4 linked regions of the Saccharomyces cerevisiae S288C genome follow. The protein of the gene in region 4 binds, or shares a complex with, the protein of the main gene of each other region. Links are inferred from orthologs where the notes say so. Each region holds a gene or a part of one and is shown on either strand. Other genes may lie near its edges. The genes, in order: COG4, COG6, COG5 and COG7.

Region 1 (5,096 bases), on a different chromosome or scaffold from region 4:
ATATGGAACATCCACAGTTCATAATCCCAGATGAAGGTAGTAAATTAAGAATTAAGAGAGACGATGAGATAAATACCAGGAAAATGGATGAAGAAAAGGAAAGGCGTTTAAACGCAATTATAAACGGTGAAGTTTGATCTATGCATGGCTGGGGGTTTTCGATTTCATAGACATGTATATTATCATATATAGTTACTATCGAGTATAGTTATGAGATTTTCTAGAGGAAGTCTATCAACCAGAATTCTGGACAATAATGCTAGTTCTGACTTCCAATCCTGGAATAAATCGTTTCTTAACATGTTTAGATTTATAGGATCTTTTTTCAAAAGAGCATTTATCAGCCATTGGGACTGCTGTATAGATGAACTGCCAATACCTGGAGAGGATCCATGCGACACTAACGCCTGAAGTTCGTTGTAAGGCTCATGCTGCGATATAAATGATAAAAGACAAAGCCCCACGGCATACAAATCCGATTCAAATGTAGGAACATGATCGGAGGAGCTATCAATTAGTTCTGGTGCACAGTATTCTACCGTGGTATTCAGATCTGTTGGTGTTTGATTAATGTGAAATGCCGACGTAAAGTCAGCAAGGTAGAAGTCAAAATCCTTACAATGGCCTCCATTAAGAACATGCATTTCTGTTATTAAAATATTTGCTGTTTTTATATCACCATGAATTATACCATTTGTTTTCAAAGATTTTAATGCGTCTATCATTTGCTTCATAAGTCTCCACCATATTTTTCTTTTTGTTATCAACGAAAGCTTATGTGACACTGCTGTATTGAAGTGATATAAACTCATTTCGCATTTCGGAAGAATAAGGCCAGGAACACATTCGTTGGACCTCAGTCTTCTAAAATGGGATTTAGTTATGTATGTCAACCCATAGAATGGAATAATATGACTTTCATTGGTTGAAGGACTCATGTACTGGAGATATGCTAGCGTCAAAGCTTCCTGTAAAATCACCTTGCTTTTATGCTGTGATTTGGCAAACTTTAAAACAACCCCTGAATCGTTGTTACATCTTGATGAAGCACTTGATGATATAGGGTACACATATGAATAACTTCCCTGTCCCACTAATTTGTTAGACGGAAGAGAATAACTTGGATTTGACAAAAAATCCATCTCTGGAGCAAGTAATATGCCCATCAAAAACTCATCCAGAAATTCTAGGGAAGAAACTGTATTAGAAAGACGGAACATTAAAGCCAAATTCTCCGGAGAGTAAAACCGGGGGGTAGTGAACAATACGTCTAAATCGTTCTTTAGGTGCGCCTCCGAGGTAGCAACGGGCGCCTTACTAGAATAATCTGTCTGGAATGCCTCACTGAATTTAGCTGTCGGCTCCTCTACAGGAGATACCAGATGTGAATATGCGAAGTTACTTTTATGTTTTTGCGGTTGGCGATAAGCAAAACCCTTACTATTGTTACTTATGGATGGAAAGGAACCATCAGAAACCCTGGTGACGGGTGACGTAGGAGGTGTACTGTTCATAGCGTGACGTTTGAGAACTAGTCTTTGAGATGTGTTTTAAGACGATTTTTGCTGTTGATGAGGTTAGATCCCCGTTATATAAAGGCAAGAATCTATTAGCAGCGCTTTTTGTTTATTCAATGCTAGTCAAAATAAACAATAAGATAGACCCATACATCACAATCTAGCTGGTTTGCGATCATGTTGATTGACACATTATATCCTTGCTAGGGAACATAAATTTTCGTCATAGGCTATACAAGCAGCTGAGATATAGTGAAGGAGGTAAGCAACTTTTGAAACACATTTACGATCTTCTAACCTTATTAACTTGTTGCTTTAGCTTTTAGAACTCCATTTACGTCACTTTTTTGAATTTTCGCCTGTAAAGGAATTGTGAAAAAAGTGTGGGATAGAGATAGAACATAGAAAACAAACCAAATTCGTTGGGACAGCGAAGTAGCGCAAACTAACGATACTGTATTGTCAGGCTCTAAAAGGGTGAAGTTTTGATGGAAGGGCAAAAATCGAATGCATCATGGGAGAGCTCGATCATCGAGGGCCAATTGTCTAAAAATCTAGCAAGGTACACCTTGTTATTAGACAAATTATCGACACTATCTCAAATAGACAAGCTGTCTGAAGTGATAGCCAATGATTACGCAAAACAATCTAAACAATTAAATGCATTTGTGCAACAGTCGCAATCATCGCTCAACAAAGAGTCCCGGAAATTAGAATTGCAAAGAACTAACCTTACGACTACTTTGACTCAGTTTCATGAGACTGTGGCCACCATTTCTTCTTCGAACGCAAGAGCAAAAGCTATACATGACGATATTGAAACTGTAGATCAGGAACGCGCTTTGGTCAACAAAACGTTACAATTTGTAAAAGACGTCAGGACGCTAAAGAATAATATTTCACTGGCGCATTCTGCTTTAGAAACAAAGGATTACTTAGTTGCTGCGACAGCAATCAATGAAATTAGAAGCCTTCCGGATAAAAAACTTATTGTATCCGAGTTTGCCAAGAAAGTTGTGCCCTCGAGTGAAATTCCCGAAGAACCAGCTATACTAATAAAGAATTGGTGTAAGGAACTGACAAGTTTATTTCAGGAGCAATTCATGGAAGCAACAAGAACACAGGATATTAAAGAGCTAACCTTAATGTTCAAAATGTTCCCTATGATTGGGCAGGACGTACTTGGTTTAGACCTGTATTCCAAATATGTCTGTGATATTATTGCGGACGAAAGCAGGAAAATTATGTCGAATTCTATGGAAAACAGCACCAAGTTTCAAGGATTTTTTTCACAAGTACTGTTACATCTTTTTAAAATTGTATCGACCATTATAAATGATCATTCAAAAGTCATCGCCACGTGTTATGGAAAAAAGCACATGGTGCATGTCATGGAAAAAGTAGAAAAAGAAGCTGATCTTCAAGCTAGTTTGATTCTAGATATTTTTATGGAGACGAGGAAAATAGAAAGGACTATACATGATATAAATGAATGGGAACATTCACAAAAGAATGAAGATGTGAATATAGACAGTAATCAGTCGGATATCGAAACAGACGGAGAAACGGAAAAGAGCTCAATTATATCCATTCATGACTTGGCATTATTGATAATGGAATTTTCTCAAATACTTCAAAATTGGTCCATGTATTCTAGATTTTATTCAGTTAAATGGAATGAATTTAGCGATTTGCATCCGCATGTATTGCAACCACCTCCACCAATAGCAGATGGTAAATTTGCCTTAAAGTTAAAGCAAGATAAGGTCTTTGATGAGTTTCAGGTGTTTGTGTTGAACCATCTGCAGAGATCATTTAGAAATAGTATTTCACTAGAAGAATTACCGTCACTGAACGATCTTATAACTGCTGTTCCCCTCAATGACCACGATAACATTTCATACCCTGTAACATCTGTTTTAGATGACTTAATTTTATTAGTTCGGAAAAATCTGATATCAGTGGTTAATACTGGCCAGTTTAAGCTCTTAGCAAGTTTTTTGAACGAGTTGGTAAAATTTTTTCAGAACCGATTTCTGGTAAAATTTATGCAAAACAAATTTAAGTTACTACAATCGAAACTAGCCTCCAATGTATCTTTGAAAAGATACATTCCAAAAGGTGAGGAGCAATCTGCAACATCAAGATCGGTTTCTCCACCTGCAAATAAGTTTTCTCCGCTAAGCAGGTTCACTTTTAGAGGGGCAGCAGCTAGCGCTTTGACAAATATTCAATCAAATTTACAAGCCGTAGTTGCAGAGGACGAGGATTCCATTCTTGCGTTGCACCATTATTTGATATATCTGAACACGTTGTACTTGAGTAAAGTATACGTTCACAGGCTGTTATCCATAGAAATATTAGAAGACGATTCGCAAAGGATTTTGAGAGACAATTTCCCTTTTGACAATGATGCAGCGCAGTTACAGAATTTAATTATAAACTCAGAAAAATTAGTCCTGGAACAAACAGATAAGCTAAGCAAATGGGCTGTCAAATACTTGTTCCAAAATATCCTACAAAATAGGGTTCGGAACTTATTGGGAACTGTTTTTGTTAATTCAGCCTCATCAAATTCCTCAACGTCCAATCAAAAAAATGTGTCTCGCGATTATTCTGCAGGTTCGAACCAAAAGAATTACATCACAAGCATAGAAGATTTCGAAGATTTGTCGCAAATTAACAGTTTCAATAGCAAATGGAACCAATTGATTATCCCTTACAAAAATATTCTTCACAACGAAGCATATGCAGAGTTGCTATCTGTCATAGTCGACTACATCGTAACAACATTGGAGCAAAGAATATGGACTCTAGAATTCAATGAACTTGGTGTTACGAAATTAGATAGAGAACTGAGCCTTTTCATCGGCAATATGTGTGGCTTGAACTATAATCTCAGAGAGAAGTTCTTGAAATTGACACAAATCGTGTTGCTTCTCGGTTTAGATGATGACAATTTTGATTTGACTACAGGTGATATCAAGGATGACTTCAATGGTACTTTCGATTGGGTGATAAACTCTCAGGAAAGAATTAAAGCTAGAAATATGAAGATTGATAGAACACAGTAAATATAACATAAGCTTTACGAGCTGAATACTAAGTAGTTTCATATAAACGCAAACATAATCTTGGCTGTTGTACCTTTTCTGCATACTCTTGACTGTTAATACATTTCTTATTTTTCTTATGAAAGAGCACAACATGATAGCGCCATACTATCATTCTGAACGTTGCGATTAACTGGAAATTACGAAGACTAAGACAAGAAAAATTAAAAGCGTTAATAAAAAATAAACAAAGGAACCTTTGAAATATATTCCGTCACCAAGCTAAGAAAGGAGTAGCTCTTTCTCTAAGGCCAACTTTGTCATCCTTTGAGTTAGTTTAAAGTCTATTAATATTTGCTATTATCTTCTGGGCTGGATAAATAGGACTTTTCTATTGGCACATTTTTTTCTCTTGTAGAAGGTCATCACGAATATTAATTTTGTATTTGAAAGCATTTTATTTTCTCCTTTTTTTATTACCATAATATACCTGGTACTGGTTTTTACCTGATTTAACGTCTAGCCG
Region 2 (4,817 bases), on a different chromosome or scaffold from region 4:
CAACAGCAACAGGATCTCCACACGCACAATTTACATACTATACCAAGGAAACCTGGAATGGTTCAAAAAAAGCATAGGCGTGCAAGATCCACATCCTCCTTTGGAGTGATCGATTTAAGTATTATCGATGAAGCAAAAGAAAAACAAGTACAGAGATCACCATCCCCTATACATTCTAACGTGTCCGTAGCACTTACCTCACATGACAAACCAATTGAATCCAATATGAAGGAACAACCAAATATGCTGCAATCGGTTCGTGAAGGACGTCAAGTACACGATGACTTGGATGACAGAACATGCAGTGAAAGCAGTAGTAGAAACGAAAGCCCCGTAAGAACCATCACAAAGGATAATTCTGTAGGCAAGATTTTAAATAGTACTTGAGTGATCATTATTTTCTTTTTGATGTTCCCCCTACGTATGTATACACCCATATATTATATAGATACCCGCCGCATACCAACATAAAAAAGGTAACAAATATTTGAGATATAGAGCATCGCTACATTATGGGCAAGATGCGTCTTTGTGAGACGATTTTAAACAGAAGTTGTTCATCTCTCAGTGATCAATACCTATCAACATGTCAAATTCATCAGTGGAAAAATTTAAAATTTCGAATACCTGATCCTTCTTGTTCGGATACAAATGAATCAACAGTTTCCTGAAGATATTATAAAATAGCGACAACTTCTTGAAACATTCATCGCATATTTCATCAGCTATCATTGGTGACGTTAATTTAAATAGTAAATTACCTTGAACATCTGTTAACGCCTGAGGTAGATAATAGTTCAACTTATCATGCACATTTTTTCTGACCATGTCTAATTCCATCAATGAATTATCCCTCAGGGCTAAGTACATATCATAATCCAATTCATCCTTTACTGAGTCCACAGGAAAAATCATATTGACCAAATTGCTGTAAAGGTCTAAACCTGTATTCTCAAATAGGAATTTTATTTGTAAAGTTAGCATTTGCTTAGTATATTCCTTCAGTTTATCACAAACCCAGATGGTGATTTTCCGGCTGTCATCATCTTGTGCAAACAATCCCTCAAAAGGTTGAAGTCTAGATTTAATTAAATCGAAACAGTTTATCTCTATAGTTAGCAATGATGCCTTTTCTTTTTCATTTTTTTTCGCCAAAGGAAAAGATGTTTGCAATTGTTTTAACAGAACATCTTTTATTGGTTGTTCTACAATTGTTTGTAAATTCTTAGATGAGAGCAATTTATTATCTTCTGATTCCTCATCTTCGGCAGCATGTGTCTTTTCATAAATTTCAAATAACTCTACCAATTTATTCATATACTCTGATAGCCACTCTGGTGGCAGTAAATCATCTGAAGAATTTTTTGTTTCCGCCATGACTGTTTGCTTCATATAGTCTTCATAGTATCCAATAATTCTGTTTTTGGAAATGTCTTCCAACGACTTTAAATTGTTAATAATAGAACTATCGTCCTGAATTCCCTTTCTCTCGAACATAACTCTGTAAAGTTTCAGCAGCCTCACAATCTCGAAATTGATGATCGGATTTTCTTCAAACCTCACGATTTGCTCGATACGAATACGACACGAATTGGATAGCGACTGGATGATATCGTTCAGCAATTTGTTGTCGATGCCTTTCAAGAATGTCTTGTTTTGTTGAAGTATAGAAATTGGGGTATCTTTTAAGTCTTCATCCTGAAAGTCAAATAGTGACTTCACGAAATCAGCTTCATTTGCGATGATGGAATGAACGGACGCTAGTACGTCACCAATATACCTAATTGGATCGTGTGCCGATAATATGATGGGTTTAGAGGTAGTTGAATTCATATCGAATTGAGACAAAAACTCATCCAGAATACTCTTGGATCTCAGTGTGGTCACTCTTTTCAACAACTCATTAAATAATTCTAGATCACTTGACAGGAAGACCAGACTCTTCCGAAAAATGTTTAAGCTTTCTTGTTCAGTAGTACCATGGTCATTTAATAAATTTGAAGAGGATTCAAAACTATATAAAAAATCGATCAAATAATTGAAGATTTTTTTGTTTGTCTTTTCTAAAATTTCATTAACTCCCATTATCAAAGCATTTCCAGCATTCAAATTAGGAAGCGTCAGCAAGAAACTTGATTCATCTTTAATATTGATTACTTTCTTTACTACCTCGAAAAAGATGTTGTCTATAGTACCATTGGTGATTACATCGTCCTCTACCTGATTCAAAGTAAACCTATCCCTTATAGATAACAGTATTTTTTTTTTCAGCTTCAACTGCTCTGCCTTTAAACGGTATTGATCTATTTCCTGAAGTACCACGTTATTTGTTGGAACCTCATTTGTCTCATTACTTAGTAATTTTTCGCTCGTTCTTTGTATTTTTTCGACGGAAGAAGATAATCGTTTAATCCTTCTAATGATAGGTTTGAATTCCTCAAGTACCGTAATATGTTCCTTTAGCAGTTGAGATTCCAAATCAGTCCTCAATGCTCTTCTTGCCAAAGTACCTACATATTCAGGATTCATGAGCTTTTGTTCATCAAGGGACAATCTCTCTTTATTCTCTTCTAGAACCTTTAGGGATTTTCTTAGTTGGACTGTGGCCTGATAGTTAATCAATGTGTAATTGTTCAATATCTTGGATAGTTTATTCGAAAGAACCAAATTTGTGGTATTTTTGTTGGAACCACTTGACGGGGATACTAATTTTGATAAATCAAGGTTTTTTGGCTCGTAATTCGTGAAATTTTGAGATTCTTGCTGCGATAGTTTTTCATCCTGGGAATTTTGCCCTAATTGTTTGCTTGGATTTGAAAGCTGTATTTTATCAATGGAAGACATTGCGTAATGTGTCATTTTCTTATGTAGGTCTTTCGAACCAGCACCATCATTATCTACTGGCAAAGTTGCATTATTATTGGAATAACGTTGAAGGTCGGGCAACTTAAACTGTAGATCTAGTTTACCGGTGGGCTGTGACTGTGCATCTGAGGTTAAGTTTAGTCTTGGCTCAGGTTCTGGTAATTCTGGCGTGGCAGTATCCGCCATTGCGTAGGTCTGATAGTCTACAACGAAATCCATTGTGAGTAAACTTCACTGGGGATTTTGTTACGATAATGTACAATATACTTCAGATACTACAGCTTTCGGATGAATATTTACTAGAATGAATTACTACCTTAGATGTATATTTTGTATGAAAGCGTCATTACGCCAGTTGTATGTATTTTGTCGTCTGAGACGGCAGGTGATATATAAGTAAAATGGAAGTATAAACGAACAGAAAGCAATCATTAACAATTTACTTATAGATTTCGACTAACATACGCATCGGTAGGATTAGATACCAGTTTTTGAAATCCAATTTTTCCCTCGTATATGGAATGTGCTGAGAGTTTTCCTCAGGGATATGCGTATCAACAAAAGAGAGGTGGTAATACATGCAATCATATAGCGGTTTGTTTCTTTAATACTATATGTTGTCACTTATAATCCTGTTATATTATTGATCTTTAGGTTTCAGCTGATCCTTCTAATATCCCTCTATTGGTTTCGTAATTCGTGTTATCCTTTAAGAAGATCCTAGCGACATAATCATACTATCAACTGTTATGTTACCGTTTGGTGAACAGTTGGCTTTTTGCTCCGGCATTTTTGATTAAAAATAGGCTCTTGTTAAGCTACTGGAATTTTTCTATATTACCAGGCTACTCTTGATATGGCACCGGAATGTAATAGGAGTTACAAGACCATTTCAAGTTAAAGAAAAATTACTGGAAAAAGGGTAGTAACGTACGTGGACGAAATAAATAAGAAGGACGTAAATTTAATACAAATGCACAAGTAAAGTTATCGGCTCCTATTCTTCACTAATTCCATGCATATTAAGAACTGCTGGAATAAGAATTGACCGTTGCTTATTGACTAGTGGCCATGTTACTAGTATACCTATCACACACAATGTAAGAAAGTGACATAAGCCATGAGATACAATCTCAAATCTAGTAAAAGCCGAAATACAAGAACTGATGATGTAACAGAGTAATGCATAACAACGTGCAATGCAAAGGAAGAAATAATAGTGTTATTACGTAGGACATTGATTTCCTGTCATGACTATTATATCCTCAATGAGCGCATATAATGCATTCTGTATATTCAATAATACCACCTTATCAAATAACGAATACCATCGATTATCAGTAAATTCATGTATCACTCGCGTAAATTCTGAAATTCAGCCCACTAGGAAGACGTTTATATCAGTTTACTTTTGTACAAGTGACTTATTGCAAGCAATTTGTACGAAATATGCTTACACTTTTCATTAGTAAAAGAACCAACCACCCATCATTAACATCTTTTTATTTTTTATCCTTATCGTGTAAAAAAAACTTAAGAATAGACATCCTGGTGACGCATATCGACGAAAGCACACAACAGCGTCAAAAATTGATTAAAAGGTAAGTTATCATGCCCACACCTATGACGCCTGTCAAGGTCGGCGCTTTAGCCTGCCAGAGGAACTCATTTCTCTTCGATGGGTTCAAAACACTGGTTGTTTCTTGCGAACCAACGAAGAATAAAAAGGGAGAGATTGAAGGTTATGAGATTGAACTACAAGATACTATTCTGTTCCCCGAAGGTGGGGGCCAACCAAGTGATTCTGGTTTTTTGAAAATTGTTGAAGGGAATCGTAATTCGTCGAAAATTGAGAAGATATTAGTTTCACACGTTTCTCGTTTCGGTTTACATGCAAAGCATCATGTCAATGACTACATTGAGCCCGGAACAACAGTGGAAGTGGCCGTGGA
Region 3 (3,695 bases), on a different chromosome or scaffold from region 4:
GACTATGATGTGATAATACAAGAAAGTACAAAAATTCTGGAGGATGATCTACGTATTCGTGATAAATGGCCATATTGCCAGGGTCGAATAATAGATCTGTATAAGCACAATGCGAGAATAGAGTTAGAGCAGCAGAAGGAATTGAAGATTAAAAAGAGGAGACCTGGTCAAAAGCAACGTGCAGCCAAAAAACTGGCACTTGAAAGAACCAAGGAGCGTGATACCAAAGCTCGTGAGATAAAGAAACAGTTGAAGAAAAAGTTTCATAAGCGTGGTGGAAAGAAAAACAAAAAAAAGGTACCTTTGAACCCACTGGCAAAAGCTGGCAGTACCCCTAAGTTTAGGACAGAATGACCACGTAAATGTATATATATACATATTAATACTTCATATAAACTAACCGATATTGGATTTCTCATAATAACTATTACTAGTATAATCTTTAATAATATAAACAAATATTACATTTCATGTAATTTTTATTAAACATATGCACATGCTATTGAAAATTGCTTTAGATTCATCCTATTTCATCAACATTCTTAATTTTATGTAAACTGTCTCACTTATTTAGAGAAATAGATACTGAGTTTAGCATTACATCCAAGTAGCTTTGGTAATCACTATTATCAGAAGATTTTTTCATACTTTGCTTCATAGTGTTTATAATAAAATCTTTATTTTTTAACAGCGACTTGCCCACAGGGCCTCCTCTATTAACAGATATATCAAAGTCCTTTTTGAAGGCAGATGAAACTTTGCTCCAAAACAGATCTCTCGGTGTACCAGAACCTGCTTTACTCTTCATTGAGGTATATTCTGATAAAAGATTGCCAAGGCGTGATTTATTAGCAGCAATAGATCTCGAGGAATTCGTAACATTATCCGTTTTGATGTTCTGTAGTAGTGTTTCTAAAATGTAGATGTTATAACCTTTTTCAACAACTTCATTGAACGCATCAGGAAACATCCTGATAGAATTTAAAATTTTTGATAGGATTTGTGAGCTCATTGTAACATTAGATAGTACAATCTTGTTTATTGCAGACTCGAATTCTTGAGATGAAAGTAGATATAAGGAGTAGGCCAGCTGAGATATTATTTCTTTGTTCGATTTGATTTTAATAGAGTTCAAGCACTCTTTACACATTTGTAAAGACAAAAATGTTATTAACTCTCTTTTGTTGGGGGAAACAATGTCCTGATCTAATTGTTTAATTTTCCGCAAGGATTTTAGATTTTTATTTTCTTCCAAAGTAATTTCAAGTTGGTAGTGTAAGGAGGCTAAATTAATAGCTGTTGATGTGCTTAGTTGGGCTGTTTTAGACAGTGCGTTTAATTTGTTTGATAAATGAATATAAAGCAATGCTCCGCGCAAGAGAAAAGATGTTTGGTAAACTTTACTCAACGCTAGTTGGACTTTCCTCGCTCTTTCATAAGGATCTAGAACTTGATTCTTTAGTCTATCGTACGACATATTCATATATCCCAAACTTGGTTTCAACTCACCAACTATGGTTGAATTGACGTGTTCATTTTTGTAAATTAACTCTATTATCTCCAATGGGTTGCTATTCATCAATTGGTCTATTCTAGAGTCAATCTCATGTAGATCATAGTTTAGCTTTTTAAGAGGCGTGTTAAGGTCTAAAATGGTTGTGTCATTGTTATTAGTAGCCTTCAGTAAGTCATTACCAAATTGTTTAGCATCAAAATCAGGCTCCAGCAGAGACTCAAAATCTTCTAAATCGTTTGCCATTGGCGCTATTGTCATACCTCCAGCTCTTTTCTTCTTTTTTGTTACACATTTTTATCTTCCATATCTATTCTAGTTGATTTTTTTTTTTTCATAGTATTCAACCAAATGGAGAAGTTTTTAAGAAATACGTCTTTGAAAGGGAGGCATAGAATAACAAGGTAAACCCATTTATACAGGATTCCCTCATACTATATTAGCTTATTTCATTCCAGGGGGGTTCCCTTAAATATAAGAATAATAAGAATAATGATATAAAATTATATGTCTAACAAAAAATTACAAAATTTGAGTAAATAAATAAAGAAAAAATGTGAGAGTGGCAATCAGCCAATTTTATGTTTGATATGTTGGCATTGTATTGGGCGGATGCCCATGGATACACTTATAATGTAATAAGATATTCACTTTCGTACAGGTCACAGACTAGCTGAAAAAACCATGACAATCGTTAACCCCTATTGATTTCCTTTCAAAATTTCTGGCCTGTTCATTTAGATTGGACCTGAGAATAACCACCCCAAGGATTAGCATTCTTCGACTTCAAATATTCGTCACTCTTTAGCTGCCACTCCTTATTCATGGTCTTTGCGTCTTGGCCACCCGCCATCCTGACGACAGCAAAAAGTCCCACTGAAAATAGTAGGCCTGCAGCAACACCTTTGGCAATAAAACTGGAATCACCCTTATTCAATACAGGTCTTCTTGGGCCCCATTCTCCGTAAGAAATGTACCACACAGCTTGCTTTTCAGGCTCAGTAAGCTGTGCCCATGGTAATTTTTGACGTTCACTCAACTTACTGACAATATCCTGCTGCTCAGTGGAGGGCATGTTCTCCCATCTGGATTGCAGATCCATTACAGCAGCGTTGGAAAGAGCATGTGTTTGAGCGAATCTTACGGATGTAATACGTGATAGTCCACCAGCTCTAGTAAAAGTGTTACGTAACATTGTAGATGCGTTCTTAGTTGATCTTGTGTTTGGTGCATTGCTTGCAAACAGAAGACAAAATACGAGGACTGATGGTTCTTATTTAATTGATTGTTCTTTTTAACTTTTCGCCGCCGCTTGTATCGGCGCAAAACGTAGGGCCAATCACAAACGAGGAAAACGTCTATTGGACGATTTTTGCAATGTGACACTTACAATGATGAATAATTACTATGTAGGCAGAAGTGCTAAGTACATTCTATTTAGAAGCGTAGGGAGGCGGTCTGCCTGCAGATCTGATAGTCATAAAGATTCTTTTGGGAGATGCTGTCCCTTAAGGAAGAAACATCATCTGTTCCGGGGCAGTAGATATTGATTCGTTGTCCACAGAAGCTTCCAGTGAATCTGCGGGTTGAGACAAACTTTTACAGTGCTCATCATCTTCCCCGCGTTCTGTGGCCAGTGCGGTCCTTGCTCCAGTCAACGTAGCAGGAGTTCTTGGCGTTACTTCCGAAGAATTGACAGAACTGTCATTCGGCGACGATGATAGATTCGTTACCATGGGAAAACTTCTAAAGGACGCAGAAGAGTAGGACTTCGTAGTCGAGGAAACTTCGTTGTTTCCGATGTCATCTTCCTCAGGCATGTGAACAGTCTCTCCTTCTTCGCCCGGTGAGTTCTTGGACAACATGGTTCCCCATTCCATAAGTTGGAAGATGAGACCCATGTTTGGACTTATATCCTTAGCAACACCTTTCAGCTTATTGTATGCATCATTTAAACTCAAGCCATAATATCGCATGATATACGCCACAATCAATGACGCCGATCTTGATACTCCACACTGACAGTGTACGAGTATTTTCTTGCCTTGCGAATGAGCGGTATGTATAATGCGTGTCAATCGGGATAAGTCCTTGACGATCTTGGATGTGTGTGTCCATTCAATATGGTAATATTTTATTTTATGTGCCATTTCCGGCGGTATTAAAAACTCCAGGTTCGGTA
Region 4 (3,288 bases):
TTGGCAGCTGTCAAGTTTTAATCATGTTTTTTGGTGGCGCACCATTTTCTATTGCCAGACAAACCAAATCAATGTGGATAACCGCGGTACTGTGTGGTATGTTGTCTCTAATCATGGGGGTGCTAGTGAGAATCTGCCCCGATGAAGTAGCAGTGAAGGTATTTCCGGCTGCTTTCGTTCAAAGATTCAAGTACGTATTTGGACTCGAGTTCCTCAGAAAAAACCATACTGGAAAACACGACGATGAAGAAGCGCTGTTGGAGGAATCTGATAGTCCAGAGTCCACCGCCTTTTATTAATAGACGCGCTCTATATGTTTATACAAATGTAAGTGACCAAATGAAAAGATGTGTGTAATAGTTATATTTTCAAAATTGTACACTATATTATATAATCAATAAAAAGAAACTATCTGAAATAGCATGTCCTCCTAAACAAATTCCTTTTTACCCTTTTATGCATTACAAGTGGACCAAAAGGACTGGAAATGGTAAAAAGAAATAAGAATTTAAACATGCTATAAATTTCTTTTGTTAATTGCAAATTTTTTGTTTTTATCACCGATTATGATATCATACCATCGTCAATATTCTTGGTTGATAAATAACTTTGTGCTTTTGATTTTATGCTCTCCGAAAAGTTGCTATACTCAGCAAAGAACTTATCTAGGCCTTTAAACAGACATTTCAGTTCAGAAAGTGAATCAATTCTCCCAATCAAATCCTTGTTTGTTTCATCTTTAGCCTCGTTATCAATCGCAGAGCTTAAAGATTCATCGATTGTATCCTCTAATGCTTTCAATGATGTTCTAAAATCTGTTATCGAAAGATCTGTCCCCGTGCTGGTTGTATTATTTTCTCTAACTGTCGAAATATTCGTAACGGTCCTAACTTGTTCCAGGTAATATACCACTTTTTCAATTCTCTCCTTAATCAACATTAAACTTTGCAGTTGTTGCCTCACATTGGTATTGCGATTATTTTCGTTATCTAGATCGCTTAGTTTCTCAGTTACATTATGCATTCCTGTTTCTAATGCTCTTACAGCACTTGCCAACGTATCTAAGTAATATTCAAGCTTCGATGATTTTAAGGATTCAGTAGAATACAATGAGGAATCGTTCTGTTCTGCTTCTTTGTGATACCTAGAAGATGCCCAAGTTCTTGGTAACGTTTGAGATAATTTATCCAAATTCCATATGGTGCTTTCCAACTCTTTTGTAAGGTTCTTTGTGTAAAAATCCAACCTGGTTAATAGCAATGAGGATACTGATTGCGTTTGAATCTGATCTTCGTTTAAGGCATTTGATAAGAGTATATCAACGAATGCATGGGGAACGAACTCCTCATCAAAAAACATACTCAATATATCATCATCATCACCCGTAATTGTCAACTCTACCATATTCTGCTTAGTTTGGCCTTCTTGTTCTTAGTGAATTGTTCTATTTTAGACATATTTCATATGGAAATAAAATGCATTATCACCCTCAAAGCGCATTACGCCAAGCTCATGCAGCGAAGTGAACTTTTTTGAAAAAGTTACTAGTACGAAAGAGGTTAAGGATTACTTAAGTTATACAAAGCGCAGAAGTTGTTTTTTCCAACTTCAAGCACCTCCCCATTTGATTCATCATCAGAAACGTAACAGAATTGGCTGACCTCATCGTCATTGGAAACTAAAAAGGTGGGCGTCTCAAATTCAATAGCGGGCCGTTCACTTTCTGGGTCTGAAATAATGTCAAGCTTAATACTGGTGTCGAATCCAGAAGATACAAATAAGGCTCCGGCTGCAAAGTAGACATTGTTTATTGGGGTGCCTTCATTAATTAAAAACTCACCAACTGGGCATTCCGGTGATCTTAGATCCCATTGAGCTAGCATTCCATTTTCATATCCGGCATAAATATAGTTTGCATTATTGCCATCGACTGTCAATGAATTACATGAACATGTGAACTTGCTTGGGAGTTGAATAGTTTGCTCTTTGGAAAATACATTATGTACAGTAATAACACCAGAAACGTGACCAGCAATCACATATTTTCCATATGTTCCAAACTCTAGATTATTTTTCTTGGAAGTAGAAATTTCATGTAATTGTCTGTCTGTCCCTACGAACAGCGCTATGCTGTTAACACCATCATGCGGGTTTTCTTTTCTGTTAAACGTGTGAATTGTCGTTCCTGTGCCGCACTCCCAAAGGCGAATTGTACCATCCAAAGAGGCAGAGAGCACATTCCTTCCTCGGTCTATTATGGCAATATCTGTGACTGTCGCCCTGTGTCCAATTAACGTGCGAGGATTTGAGCCGTCTTTTACTGACCAGATCTTTAATTGCATATCCTGTGAACTAGATATCAAAGCTTCACCGCTTGGAAAAAACTTTAGTTTTGTTATTTCACTAACGTGAGCTTGGTCAATTTCTCTTTGAAGGTTGAAATTTGAATCCAATACTTTAATATCGCCTTCTGTAGTGCCTAATATGAACCGTCTCATCTGAAGTTTAGCTGTGTCTACGGCAGTATAATCCGCCCTCTTGAGCATCTTTGAACCATCTCTTATGATAGTATTGAATAAAAAATCATGTCCATCCAACCGCGCCTTGTATAAGTGGGAGCCAACCTTTTCAAATGTATTTCCTTTGCCTGCATCTACACCCCTGCTATTTCCTAACACTACTATCTTATGCTCCTTGATTTCATTTAGGTTTTTGTCAACATTGATGTAAAATTCATCGTCATTTTCATCATTTTCTTCCAGAACAGCTTTAAAATCATACTGGATATGAGCAACTGTGATGGTCTTAGTCATTGTCGTTTCTATTGTACTTCGCTATTTCTTTTTACTTTCTGCTCTTAGGGTTGAAAACTTAATTTTTCGAAGCTTCTTTTGCCGATTTCTAGATTATTCGCCCATCCTGACGCCTGTAATATGTCATGTTAAAAACATCACAAAAGTTAATAAGGTTAACTGAGCCTTATTCCCAAATCCTGACAAGGACAAATGCCATTTTTAATGTGCAAGAAAAAGGTTCCATCCAGTTTTCTAATAACTGGATGACGAAATTTTAACGGAACTTATTAACCGTCTCTTTTTATATTGTTACGTATTTTGTATGCTTGGTAGGTACGTTACCTTAGTACATAAGTGTTATCGTTAAAATCTTCTCACTGAAACAATTGAACTAATCAACCGACCTTGTTAGATGAGTGAGGTGTAAGTAGAACTATATGAACTACTGGGCATTCGCAACAACACCATCAGATATACTAGTACACTTTTTTTT

The links.
Region 1: COG7 (region 4) and COG4 share a complex: the UniProt entries of both Saccharomyces cerevisiae proteins name them as parts of the conserved oligomeric Golgi (COG or Sec34/Sec35) complex.
Region 2: COG7 (region 4) and COG6 share a complex: the UniProt entries of both Saccharomyces cerevisiae proteins name them as parts of the conserved oligomeric Golgi (COG or Sec34/Sec35) complex.
Region 3: the proteins of COG7 (region 4) and COG5 are in contact, whole or in part, in a crystal structure (PDB 4U6U), measured with the Kluyveromyces lactis proteins. The link is inferred for Saccharomyces cerevisiae S288C from one-to-one orthologs. Residues at the interface, in XP_451390.1 of Kluyveromyces lactis: Phe16, Phe17, Asp18, Asp19, Phe21, Pro23, Gln24, Phe26, Val27, Asp28, Leu30, Leu31, Ser32, Phe34, Gln35, Leu39, Glu40, Lys43, Cys46, Ser47, Leu49, Leu50, Met53, Asp54, Tyr56, Ser57, Ile60, Thr61, Glu63, Leu64; in XP_455247.1 of Kluyveromyces lactis: Ile107, Pro110, Phe111, Arg113, Ala114, Lys116, Leu117, Gln118, Val120, Ser121, Lys123, Ile124, Gln126, Thr127, Thr128, Leu130, Leu131, Arg132, Ser134, Leu135, Val138, His139, Ser142, Asn181, Thr184, Leu185, Gln186, Leu187, Ser190, Cys191.

Annotation. Positions count from the first base shown.
Region 1 is NC_001148.4:736,479-741,574, reverse strand, and holds COG4 (Golgi transport complex subunit COG4), read left to right. Parts: upstream 1-2,005; coding exon 2,006-4,591; downstream 4,592-5,096. Other genes in the region: cleavage polyadenylation factor RNA-binding subunit YTH1, read left to right, coding at 1-137; putative protein kinase ISR1, read right to left, coding at 183-1,514. UniProt on the Saccharomyces cerevisiae protein: Acts as essential component of the peripheral membrane COG complex that is involved in intra-Golgi protein trafficking.
Region 2 is NC_001146.8:548,904-553,720, forward strand, and holds COG6 (Golgi transport complex subunit COG6), read right to left. Parts: upstream 3,085-4,817; coding exon 565-3,084; downstream 1-564. Other genes in the region: BOP3 (Bop3p), read left to right, coding at 1-387; YNL040C-A (uncharacterized protein), read right to left, coding at 3,575-3,655; YNL040W (putative alanine--tRNA ligase), read left to right, coding at 4,477-4,817. UniProt on the Saccharomyces cerevisiae protein: Acts as a component of the peripheral membrane COG complex that is involved in intra-Golgi protein trafficking.
Region 3 is NC_001146.8:530,738-534,432, reverse strand, and holds COG5 (Golgi transport complex subunit COG5), read right to left. Parts: upstream 1,775-3,695; coding exon 563-1,774; downstream 1-562. Other genes in the region: YNL050C (uncharacterized protein), read left to right, coding at 1-354; COX5A (cytochrome c oxidase subunit Va), read right to left, coding at 2,247-2,708; tyrosine/serine/threonine protein phosphatase MSG5, read right to left, coding at 3,022-3,695. UniProt on the Saccharomyces cerevisiae protein: Acts as a component of the peripheral membrane COG complex that is involved in intra-Golgi protein trafficking.
Region 4 is NC_001139.9:489,144-492,431, forward strand, and holds COG7 (Golgi transport complex subunit COG7), read right to left. Parts: upstream 1,405-3,288; coding exon 565-1,404; downstream 1-564. Other genes in the region: calcium-transporting ATPase PMC1, read left to right, coding at 1-299; RPN14 (Rpn14p), read right to left, coding at 1,560-2,813. UniProt on the Saccharomyces cerevisiae protein: Acts as a component of the peripheral membrane COG complex that is involved in intra-Golgi protein trafficking.